3 linked regions of the Bombyx mori genome follow. The protein of the gene in region 3 interacts with the protein of the main gene of each other region in a pairwise test. Links are inferred from orthologs where the notes say so. Each region holds a gene or a part of one and is shown on either strand. Other genes may lie near its edges. The genes, in order: TATA element modulatory factor, ecotropic viral integration site 5 ortholog and ras small monomeric GTPase Rab6.

Region 1 (4,383 bases), on a different chromosome or scaffold from region 3:
AGATAAACCATTGATTACATAGCAAGTTGGGACCTATCTATGCCAATGGGATTTTTAAGAAGCTTTTCAACTTTAAGAACTCACCGAAGAGCCTTAATAACTTGTTCATTGTCTTTTTCTTTAACCCTCAGCTTTTTAATGATATTGGAATGCTGTAATTGTTGTTTGGATAGCTTTTCGCCTTCCTCCTGCAGCTGGGCTATCACATCATCTTTCTCTTTTATTATGTTTTCAAATTCTGATGAGTTCTTCCTAGATATACATTCAGACTTGAGGTTGTCTAATTGCTTTCTTAATTGGTCCTGAGAGAAAAGTGACTACTTGTAGATTAGTTGTACAAAGGCTATGATTGAAATTTTCATAATATTCAGAACATGTAAGTTTTTGACATTTCAGACCTGGGTTTGTAATGAAAATTTAATGGTAACCAGAATATGCCAAGCACAGGTCTATTCCAACCAATTTTTTTCTTATATCCATGGGAAAATCTATCACAGACATATAGCTATTTTTTGATTATGTTTCTCAATAAAACAATTATATATATAGAGTACCTTCTCTCTAATGGCCTGTTGGAATTTCTTCTCTAAAGCAGACATCCGTTGTGTATATTCTTCTGTTATACTATTAATATCTCCACCCTCATGCTTAGCTATTAAAGACTCAACTTGTGTCTTTAAATCTGCATTAGACTCTGCCAGTTCTGCATTATTTCTGCTCACTTCCATCAGTCTGTTTTCTCTGGCTTCCAATATCTCAGTCATTTCACACAGCCTCCTCATCAACCTTTCATTTTCAGAATTTTGACTGTCATCACTATTGTTACTTTGCACAGATGCCTCAGACAGTTCCCTGTTGTGGCCCCTTATTTTTGTGGCTAAAGACTTGCCTAGCACCAAGTCAACCAAATTAGGAGAAATACTTCCATCAAATTTGAATGGTTTGAGTCCATACTTAGCAGGGCTATTTCTAAAGCTATTTCCATCACCATTTGGACTTGGTATAATTTCTATGTCTGAAGAAGTAGTCGTTTCTAAATCATCTCCTGAAGTGTGACCTGAAGTTCTGTCTGAACCAACTTTTACTAGATCACTTTTGCTGTCAGAACTGACTGGAGATGTTCTTTCTTTCATGGAGACATCTTTCTGTGAACTACTGCTCTGGGATGCACTACAGTTTTGTTGCTCAATATTAATGAAACTACCAGATCTTGTCATGTCACTGGTGACATTGACATTGTAGAATGAGGAGGAATCACTAAGTTTCTCAATCAAAACATCATCATGATCATCTTTCTTTGACTCTTCAATATTTTCTAGGTTGATACTGTCATTGTCTGCATTTAAGGTTCTGTCAGAACATGAGCCATCATTAGAAGAGTTTTCACAAACCTGAATCTTCTGCAGAGTTACATGATCAACATTTAGAAATTCTTTTTCTACTAGCTTCCTTGTGTCTTTCTTTTGAAACGGACTGATTGGTTTATCATCCGTGTCAAGTACAGTGGGCGCTGTGCATTCAGAGATGGAATTATAGGATATTGTGTCTTCATCGTCATCAGCAACTAGACTTACACTATCTGCTGTCTCTGGCTTTTCTGTTACATCTCCTAGCGCTGACTTTTTGTCATTGACATCAGGTGATGGATTTGATGATAAACTGCTATTTTTATCACTTGAATAACTATCAAATCCAAGACATTCTATGGAACTTGGGCTCATCAAACTATCTAGTAGAATCTCCACTGATTCAGAATTCTGTTTTTGACCTGTACTACTACTTGACATCGACTGTCCAGATGCTTCTGAATCTGGTGTAGTTTTTAGGCTATGTGATAGTACTTCGACAGAATCAGAACTTTCATTTCGACTAGACATAAATGACAATGCATTAGATCGTGAAGAGCCCCTTCTGTCTTCAACTTTAGGCTCCTCAGGCTTAGGTTTAGTCTCCACACCATCAGTGTCAGACATAACAAGTTGACTTTTTGAAAACAAGTCATCCTGACTTCCAAATTTGGTATCAGGTATAATGTTCAAAGATTTAGCTTTGGGAGGTTTAATTATGGTGACTGCACTATCACCTTTAGTCTGAGTTTCGAAAAAAGAACCGGCGAAGGAACCCCACAAACTCTGCGAGTTCAATTTCGAAGGACTTTCAGTAACGACGGGCTGGATATTTATTGTTTCTTCGTTACTAGCGCTCATCCCTAGTCCCCAAGACGTGAAAAAATCACCTTCATTTTGCAGACTTTGTGTCTTACCTGATGATCGTTCGCTCTCGTTGTTAGTTGGTGATGGCTGATCTTCCTCATTTTCACTATCATCCTGTATGTCCAAAGCCTTATCAATAGTCTTCTGAGCACCTTTGAGCGCAGTCTTAGCGAGGCTCGTAATACCTGACGTATCAAACCAGTTCATGTTCAGGCGTCATCAGACACAACATTAAGATTTTAGGAATAATCAGAACGACATTTTATTTTGAATGAGGTCATTCGAAGAAATTTGTTGTTAGAAAACTTCGTCAACATTGATCAACAATTCAACATAGTCCAATGACGTTTCCATTTTGTTATTATTTATGTATTGACCTGGATTCTAGCCTTTTAAGCCAAATGTTATTTTTTATAAAGTCTTGGATTCTTTATCGAAAAAGTAAAATAGAACGAATTAAATGAAGTAAATTCTAAAATTAATTGTGGAAATAAGCTCTCAATATTAAATAAAAAGAGCACGAACTTTCTGTGAATTCAATGAACTGTTTGAAAATATCCGAAAAACCAAAGAGTATATAATTCGAGAAACCACCTGAACGGGCCCATCCGGTCACCGTGCTCGTCGAACCCGTCGCTTGCGACGAAGGGCTCGACGAGTAAATTAACTCTCAGACACAGCCCACTGAGTTTCTCGCCGGATCTTCTCAGTGGGTCGCGTTTCCGATCCGGTGGTAGATTCTGCGAAGCACGACTCTTGCTAGGGTTCGTGTTAGCATCGTCGTCAGGTTTGAGCCCCGTGAGCTCACCTACTAGTTAAGGTTCCGCTGGAATAGCCTCTCTAGGCTACCAGCCTAGGTAGGAAAAGAAAAAAAAAAGAACGGGCCCTTTCTTTAGATTGTTTGGTGGCTTACATTTAGGAAAGAGGTCCGGAACGAGCGGAAAAGTATTTTTATACTTTTTCTTTCCATAAAGCTTTTCAAAATCTATTTCCAAGATATTATTGTCTGTAATTGCAATCTTTGAGTTGATGAAATAATCGGTTTGAATGATTGAATAAATTATAATTATAATAGACTATAATCTAATAGTACGGTACATAACTTTTATTGAAAATAAATTTTAAACTATTTGTCGTCGATTTTTGTCTGTATCTATGAGAGTACCTCCCATTATATTTGAAAGATCAATTAATGAAGATATCTCTGATTTTTTACTAAGTTTTTCTCATTAAATGACTAAATTATGATAATGATAATGACATAAAACTTTTTTAATTTATACAAACAAAACAACGGCGAACTGAATTCTGTAAAACTTTATTTAGCTTTTAACCTAATGGTTCATCATGGTACCAATTTGAGTATTCCATACTTAAATTAGCATGTCCATTTAATACAAATAAAATTGAGCATGCTTTAAGAATGGATCGGCTGATATTGCTGATACAGCGGAGTGTGATTTTGTTAGTAATTGATTAAAATTAACTGTTATTGTTGTTATTAGGCACATTAACACGTTTGCAATACTAAAAAATATTTTATTTTATTTCAATGTTACGAATATGTTTATGCATCTCTAATAGACGCCCTCAATTTATAAAATTAAATCAGTACCTAAGTGGCTCACTACTTGGCGATTAAATATTACACTTTTAAATCACATTAAATAAAGATTTAGCAAATAGCAATATTTGTTTATATTAATTTCGAGGATTCTTTCAGTTTAAATATGTTAATTATGTATTTAGTTTTTGTTCGTACGTAAAAAAAAGTATTGAATTTGTTTGACATAGTCTATTACTAAGTAATATATATTTTCGACCACGTTCCCATCGCTCCAGTGGCGCAATTGGTTAGCGCACGGTACTTATAAGACAGTGTACGTGTGAGTAATGCCGGGGTTGTGAGTTCGAGCCTCACCTGGAGCATATTTTTTATTCATTGTTGTCCATTTTTTATTATTTTATACTTTTAAAATAAAATATTTTGGACTACATTGTTTAGTATTATTAGTTAATTATGATACTATTATTTTTATTATTTTAAATTTTAATGAACTATACCTCAGAAATAATGACATCTCCCATCAGATTAGGAAAATATACAATTACTAACGACCTGCCCTCGCTTCGCTTAGGGAAGTGTAATTTATTATTGATAACAGTATTT
Region 2 (4,148 bases), on a different chromosome or scaffold from region 3:
TAACTTCGCAGAGCATGTAATTAGTTTTAGTTAGTGATCCTATTACATATGTTTATAAAAAGTTAAGAACCATTATATTTTTAAAGGTGTTTGAAAGCAATATTTTATATGTAATATAAATATAGAAATAATTAATCACAAATTCACTTTCACCGAGTAAAAAAGTTACAAATTGAATAAAAATATCTGTGATTATGACTTAATATAAATATAACAATAAAGTAATAAATTTTAAGGAAAAAGCAATGTACCTATTTGGTTTCTTAACATAAAATAAACATAAAAAATATTCATAGTAAGTATATAGATATGTTAATAAGTTTTCGCTGAGCAATTAAGTGTTATGCAAGAGGCAAGTCGAAGGGTATTGACTGTTTTCCTAATGTTTTAATGTACCTGAAATTATGGAAAATATGTGGTTTTGAAATCACTGCAATAGTTATGACCAGCAAGTAAATAATTATTCAAAATACATTTTTGAGTAGTTTTTTTAAAATGTTAGAGTTAGTACATTGTTAACAGGTTTAAAAAAAATACAAAACAATTGCAATTAATTTACCTACTTTTATTTAAATTTGGGACAGAGCATTCGGGCAGGTACTTAGTGATTTTTCTGAGAATAATATGACTACCGTTCGTCACAATGTGCATGTTGTCTGAAGGAGTTATTTGGTAAGTGGTGATTTTTTCATAGTCACACTTTGACACATGTCACAAAGGCATTGTCTAAAATCAATTTTTATCAAAAGAACAATTATGTATTGTTTATAATAAACAGAACCACTATGACAAAAAAGATAAAATTATTTTAAGTAATCAGAGTTGTTTTTTTGCGTACACCAACCAATATGTCTTTTACATGAAAACATAAAAAAATACCATGATTTCTACAGCTCTAAGTGTTATTAATATGGCGTTTTCATGAATTACTATAGCATGGTAAAATAATTCATTATATTACTGAATTATTGTACTGTATCTATAATTTGAGTTGATGGTGAAGCCATCTATAGAAATTGATTTAAGTATCAATCAAGGTGTCTTATGTTAGAAGTTATGGTGATGACTCAAAAAGTCATTGAGCTGTAAAAAACTGTAATGCAATAGAGCTGTGTAAAATGTGTTTAAGAAAGGTTAATTATTGGTTTACTAGTGATGACTGTTAAAAGGTTTTTTAGGGGTGAAAATAGACATTCAATAGATTTTCAACAAAAATCTGAATATTTAAAAACATTGTAAACTCTAAATTGAGCTCTAGATTTAATATTTTTAATTATAGATTCGTTTGTTTCCTTATACATTATAATTTTTCTGTGTTTTTAAACACTATATACCCAGGTAAGGTGTGCAACTTCTACAAATTCTGGGTCACACACAATTATCTAAGTAAATTGTAATTTCATACAGCTGTTTTTTAAGGGTTATGGTGAAAGCTTTTAACTTAGTGCTTTAAAATTTTAACAGATAGCCTGCAGTTATTTACGACATGAGGTTGGTCCTTAAATATCAGCAGTTATATGGTAGTATCCTTATATTATATTATTCTTTGGCTCTTAAGTCCTGTATCAAATATTTTCAAGGGTCTACAGGATATAAACTAATTTGACATATTTAATGAAAATAATGGTGAGATGAGGATTGCTGGCAGGAGCTAGAGAGATGTCAAGGAGCCAGTGAATAGTGCAACTGGATAGGAAACTGAAAATAAAACAAATTCGCAAGTTGTTTCTCCAATTCAGTTAAAACTTTGCATAGATGCTGTCATCTTGCATTATTGATTATTTTGTATTAAATTATAATTATGAGAAGGACATTGTATTATAACATGTATTGTAAGAGTCCTTTTCTTTAAATTTGTGATGTTAAACTATTTATGGGCCAGATCATAAATACATTAGGTACAACTAAAATTATTAAACCAATCTTTGTATTAATGTGAATTAAAAATAGCAAGAGTTAGGAAGAAACATTAAAGAAATTAAATTTTTATCTGATGTGTAGCAACAAGTATGCCTGCAAAATTGTTACTTAGACTAGTTTCATTCTGTTTAAAAAACATTTGGAAAAATTGTGTCTTTAGGTAATTAGGTAAGCTTTTGAGACTTGTTACTCAAAGCTTTTGTTTGTTTTAGTTTTATCGTTTAATAAAGGAATTAGTTGTGAGTGAAAATTTGGTTCAAAAAAATTATATCAGGAAAAAAGTGTTTTAAATATACTGTCTACTTTTATTTTGAGAATTTTGTTAATATTCATCATTGTTGTCATGGTAAATATTTACTTGATCTTTATAGAAATCAGACATAAGAACTCACTGACTACAAATTTAGAGGGTTGTTTAAATGATTTATCATACCTACAATTCCTACAATGCATTTTTTATGCTCGACTTTTCCGGCGAACACTCAGTAGAACTGTAAGGTTAATGTACTAATTTACAATATTACTTTCGCAACAGCTTGGTATTGATTTCAATCGACATGTAACAGATTACCACGTAGTTTAAATTTAATTTTACTTACGTATCAGCATAACACTAAATTTATTAAATAATTTGATTCTTCACAGCTTCCGGGAACTGAGACTCCGATATTAATTCGTAAAACAATTATTTTCTTTTCATAAATAAAATAAATATTGGAACCGCCCAGCTGGCAAAATTTAAAACTCCAGATACTTCAGAATACAGACTATACACAGCAAACTTTAGCAAAGATGTCTCTTTGTGTCTCGTTACTTTGACATGTGATAGTGATGTCAATGCCAACACAAATATAAGCTCTATTAACGGTGCCATGGGATTCAAATGTTTTCTCGCCCAAATAAAAATGCCGTAGTCGACTTGTAGTTAAATATTTAAAAGATCCAATGGGTATTTAACATAAATTTATGTACTCAATTGTTTATCTGAAAATGCAAAGGGAAACTTGCCCATAACACCAGATATTTTTAGGTCCTTGTGACTATTGTGAAAAGCGAGAGAGACCCAAAAAAACAACTTGTAAAGCTATTTTGCCCGCACCTTACACAAGTGTAACTCCATGAGGAAAGAACCAGGCTTTCAAACTCACGGGTGAGGAACGTATTTCTCGGGCACTTTTTTCCTAACTGATTAGTGGTATTTTACGTGTGTATGCATATAGTAGCTGAAATAGCCAAAGGGACTTTCCGTCCTCTGGGTCGGAGATACAGTTAAAGGCGATCAATTCAAGAGAGTTAACGTGCCGCGCCGCTTTCTCGAAGAGCCTAGGGGAGGGTATAAGCTCGCGATGCCTCGCAGTCTAGGTTTCGGTACCCCAGAAGGTAATCAGTATTGTATGTTAACATTGATCAGTAATTTCATCAGTACTAGATAAACCTACCCAAACTATAAAATATAAAATATTCATTTATTCCGTTGATCCTAGATAATAATGAATTATAGCAACAAGTCGGCATCTCATCAATAATTCTCTTGTAAATTTGATCCATGTGGTTAAAGGTAAATTATGTATACAGAGATTGGAAAGTGATGACCTTTGTGAAAATAAGAAGCGTTAACATAGGTTCACACAAGTGTAAGTTTAACCTAAGCGCTTATAGTACATACAGCATACTATATTATAATAATAGTGTAATTTGACCGGCATAAATGAATATCAAGAATCGTTTCAAATCGTTTTAATCACTTTTTCTTGATTTATTTTAATACTTCGTATCTAAACTAGATGGCAGCAGTAGGAGACTAAGTAAATGGATTCTGGCTATAACAGAACAACATTTTACCTTCTAAAAACTTTAACTTAGTCTAAAACCGGTATATCTAGCTAAATCTAGTTTTTTATGGATTGCCTTTCTTACGGGTAGAAGTTCGCAGTATACTTAAACTTTACACTACTTTCAGACTTAAAGATTTAAGTACTCTGCTAAAAACGTTTTCCCAAGTACTATGATTTTAATAAACCAAAAAAAAGTTCTGACCCAGACGTTAGTATTATTTAACAAACACCACTGGTGGTAGGACCTCTTGGGAGTCACTGGTGGTAGGACCTCTTGGGAGTCCGCACGGGTAGGTACCACCACCCCGCCTATTTCCGCCGTGAAGCAGTAATGCGTTTCGGTTCGAAGGGTGGGGTAGCCGTTGTAACTATACTTGAGATCTTAGAACTTAT
Region 3 (4,283 bases):
CCCACCTGGTGTTAAGTGTTTACTGGAGCCCATAGACATCAATAACGTAAATGCGCCACCCACCTTGAGATATAAGTTCTAAGATCTCAGTATAGTTACAACGGCTGCCCCACCCTTCAAACAGATACGCATTACGGCTTCACGGCAGAAATAGGCGGAGTCGTGGTACCTACCCGCGCGGACTCACAAGAGGTCCTACCACCAGTAATTACGCAAATTATAATTTTGCGGGTTTCACTTAAATTACACAATGTTATTCCTTCACTGTGGAAGTCAATCGTGAACATTTGTTGAGTACGTATTTCATTAGAAAAATTGGTACCCGCCTGCGGGATTCGTCTTATCTCTTAGGCCACGACGACTTCAAAACAAACATAACTTACAAGCTTAATCGTATTATACCAAAAATCTTCTTTATAGTGCAGAATTAAAAAGCAACATCTTAGTAAGTAGTAACCACTCTAGGAGATTAGGAATTATCAAATTAGATAGGAAAATAGATGGGGCTATTGTTACATCGAGGTGATGATAGAGAAATAGCAGCAGTAGCTCCTGGATGCTGCACTCGTATTATCTGAGATCTTAGAAGAGTTATGGATGCCTTGTGTGGATTCGATGTTGAATAATACAGGGTGTCGTGTCCATTGCTAAGCCAAAACAACAATAAACTTCTAGCATAGAGTAGGTAAATGGAAAATAATATTTATAAATAGGCAAAGACAAGAAGTTCTTGTTGTCTTGTTTTTCAGCTGACTTTCATGTCACCATGGTAAAAATGGAAAATTCTTGTTGGCACTTTTACAAACCAAATGTCGATGGCTAACACACAAAAATGTCGCGTAATCCATTTGGTTTAAACATTTAGACAGTTTTGTAACTTCACGAGAGGGCCATTTAAAGATAAAAATTTGGAAAAAATATGCTACCGCAACTTAAATTGGAATAACATAATTGGAGTTTAATTAAAAACATCGAATTGTTGATGCTAATCTATACTAATATATAAATTTACTGTGGTTTTTACTGATGTTCCATTATAACTACTGAACCATCCATCCGATGGACTTGAAACTTGGTATCCGTGTAGAAAATACATGTACTTAATGGATAGGCTTATATTTATATGAGTGTTGGACTCCCTACACCAGTTGCAGGGGTGTTAATGATGAGAATCTTTGTGGGGGTGAGAAATAATAATGTTAATTTTAAATGCCCAGCGAAGCGGACGGGTACAGCTAGTACCAAATAAATACCTAATACCTAGATAAATGTCTCTTAAACAAATAACCCTTCACCCCTTAATATAATGAATCTAAATTTTAAAATGTCATTGATTTTATAGATGAATTTCAGCCTTTAAGTGAATACTAGTTGAATGAAATATACATTATAATGATATTTCGCATATAAATATATTGTGAGAGTGTAATGTAACAAGAAGGGAGATCACACACATTCCCTTGAGACTTCAGACAGACAGACATATCATCTTAGTTACATCTTTTTAATTACATTGTACAAAGTAATAAATACATTTGTAAAGGATAAATTGTTAATTTAAAAAACTACTGTAAGGGATTTTCTAATATGGATCACAGCAAATCAAATTCCTCAATCTGTATTAATTTCTAGACCCAATTTAAATGTGAACAAAATTTTAATTATAGTTCACTCTATTATTTTTTTGCAACCTTTGAACTTTATTCAAAACCTGTGACATCCAAAGATTTATGGGTAAAATGGACTAGAATAACATTATGTAGGAGGGGCTAAAAAGCTCTCTCAATAATCTCAAATAATGCTAGGTGCTTAACAAAAGTTTGGTGTCCACAAGAGTATCTAAGTTTTGATGGGATGAGTAAAGAAACATTAATTCTACAGCAGAAGCTAAAATTTAATAATAAAAATAAAATAGGTTAAGATATTTTATAATTAGCAATCAATGTGTTGTGGAAAAACATTTCAAATGTGAATGCTAATTTTTGTATTTTTATTACAGAACAAAAGTTATTAACAATAATAAATGTTCAACAAAAAATGCATTTTTTATTTTAAGTGATCAAGTCTTAAAGCTTATGATTATAAGTATTCAATTAAGGATAAATAATAAGAATTTACTTTGTCAAACGTATCCATAGCTGTATTTCTATGTTGATCAAGTTTAATGATGAAAATTATCAAATGTATCGAACTTAATTTTTGAAACCATGGCTTGATAGTTTATACTTTTACGACTGCATAGGTCTCTGACTCACCTGATAAGTATTGTCGAAGCTGTCGTACATGAATCTAGTGATGAGAGACGTCTTCCCAACTGAAAGAAAAACAATGTCATACCATTCAATCCCATTATCGCACTACACGCGAATTAATAAGAAAATTTATTTTCGATAGCGGCACAACCGTGAGAACATTGTACGCTCACAATACGATGAGAGAACGTAACCTACATCAGTCACGTAATTCAGCGCTCTAGAAACGAAATTACATTAAAAAACTATAATCGAAGAGCAATGAGAAAAAAACTGCCTTTAAAACCCAGCCCGGACTATCTAGGTCAGTAATTCAATAAAGTCTAGACGAATCTATCCTTACATATCGTAAATTCAAAACTGTATATTAAAAATGTACAAGAGCAAAACTACATTTTTGCCGTATACTTACCACTCTGTTCGCCGAGAAAGACAAGCTTGAATTTGCGTAAAGGATTACCAAATTCACCCGATGTAGACATCGTTATTGTTTTAATTATTACGCTAAACTATAATTTTACAGTAATCTTATCACAGAAAACTACATGAAAATGAACGTTCCACAATGACAGTTCGAACCACTCCTGCGACAGGCGAGCGCAGCGCCGCCACGTTACGGCAGACTGACGGCGCGACGAACTAGCCAACTCAGCAAATCTACTAATGACTCAACATAGCATACTGCGAACAAAAAAAAACATTTCAATTCGTATTTTAGATTGGGATCTAAAACAATGAAAATACATTCCTAATTTAAGTTTCTTTCTAAACTATGTATTTGATTTTCTTGAAAGTATATACGTTTCCGAACGATACAATTATTATTCTGATTGCAACAAAGACATCCATCCATTTTTGGGAATGATATTTTATTGGAACGAAGTTCCTTACGGCAGGCTTGGAGGAGATAGGGATTTTGCTGCGCGACCGAACTGAAAAAATGTGATAGTAAAACCGTAAGAAAAAGTCCGTGGAATAAAACCGTTAAATGAGACGTGCGCAGGCGCGACAGTCGTATACACAAGCAAATAGTTTAGAATTCCTTTCTCTTTCTCCTTCTTTCTTTTCGTTCTCTCATCCCTTCTCTCTCTATTTTGTAATTATTTCTATTTCTATGTAATTTTATGTTGTCAAACAAAAATAAAGATATATTTTGTTATTTTAATTGATAATTTGAATTAAGTTTTATTTATTTATTTTACGTAATTTATGATTTCCTAAAATATTGAATTTCCTAAATACTCTCCTGTATTTAAATAAAAACTAATCAGCAAAATTTAAGAGAAAAATCAAGAAAACCTACATAAAATTGAGCACGATTTTTTTTTTGCAAATTGTGTCGATTCTACATTAGCCGAAGGAACTTCGTTCCTACCTGGTGTCCCACGACACCACATCTTGTATTTTATAAACACATTCTTTTTTGTTAGGCATGATTGGCTAATTATTATGCTATGGATATGTTATGAATAATTTCATGGCTCACCGGGTGTTAAATTATGTAAAATGTAACTGGCTTTGTCAACCTGACGCCATCTCAATAAAAATTTTGATAAGTTACATTAACGTTCTCTATTTTTTTACAAAATAAGCTTATTTTAGTTGTCATAGTTTAGTTTAAGCATAATTAAGGGATGTGCACTCGAAATCAACCAATAGAAATCGATGCTTAAATGGACAATGCAGGGCAATGTGATATTTTCGTTAGATGTGTTTATTGCTGTGACTCGACTAGAATTGAAAGTAGGTACCTAAGTGGTCAGAACACACAGTGACACACATAATAAAACTCGTTATATTTTTGGCGGGAACGCGAAGAGTGAAGTTGTGTGATTTGTTTTATTTTGTCTATTTAGTGTTTCCTTCTTCAGGTTTAAATGTGTATTAACGGTGGTTTATTTACTGTTTCATATCTGTGAAAGTGCACAAATGTGGGAAAATGAAACAAAGCCGCTGAACGTAACTTCTCGGGATCCTCCAAAAAGTCCACTGAAAAAGTCTCAGTAAATGACCACCACCTTACTGAGATTA

The links.
Region 1: the proteins of ras small monomeric GTPase Rab6 (region 3) and TATA element modulatory factor interact in a two-hybrid assay, tested with the Drosophila melanogaster proteins (2 studies listed by BioGRID). The link is inferred for Bombyx mori from reciprocal best matches to the Drosophila melanogaster genes Rab6 and Tmf.
Region 2: the proteins of ras small monomeric GTPase Rab6 (region 3) and ecotropic viral integration site 5 ortholog interact in a two-hybrid assay, tested with the Drosophila melanogaster proteins (2 studies listed by BioGRID). The link is inferred for Bombyx mori from reciprocal best matches to the Drosophila melanogaster genes Rab6 and Evi5.

Annotation. Positions count from the first base shown.
Region 1 is NC_085117.1:6,185,797-6,190,179, reverse strand, and holds the start of TATA element modulatory factor, read right to left. Parts: upstream 2,815-4,383; 5' UTR 2,421-2,814; coding exon 555-2,420; intron 303-554; coding exon 85-302; intron 1-84.
Region 2 is NC_085107.1:9,518,637-9,522,784, forward strand, and holds the start of ecotropic viral integration site 5 ortholog, read right to left. Parts: upstream 2,819-4,148; 5' UTR 2,520-2,818; intron 1-2,519. UniProt on the Drosophila melanogaster protein: Functions as a GTPase-activating protein (GAP). During border cell migration in the ovary, acts as a GAP for Rab11 and is necessary for the maintenance of active receptor tyrosine kinases at the leading edge.
Region 3 is NC_085111.1:16,052,812-16,057,094, reverse strand, and holds the start of ras small monomeric GTPase Rab6, read right to left. Parts: upstream 2,862-4,283; 5' UTR 2,735-2,861; coding exon 2,665-2,734; intron 2,315-2,664; coding exon 2,256-2,314; intron 1-2,255. UniProt on the Drosophila melanogaster protein: Protein transport. Regulator of membrane traffic from the Golgi apparatus towards the endoplasmic reticulum (ER). Mediates membrane trafficking during egg chamber growth and organization, possibly upstream of exocyst component Sec5.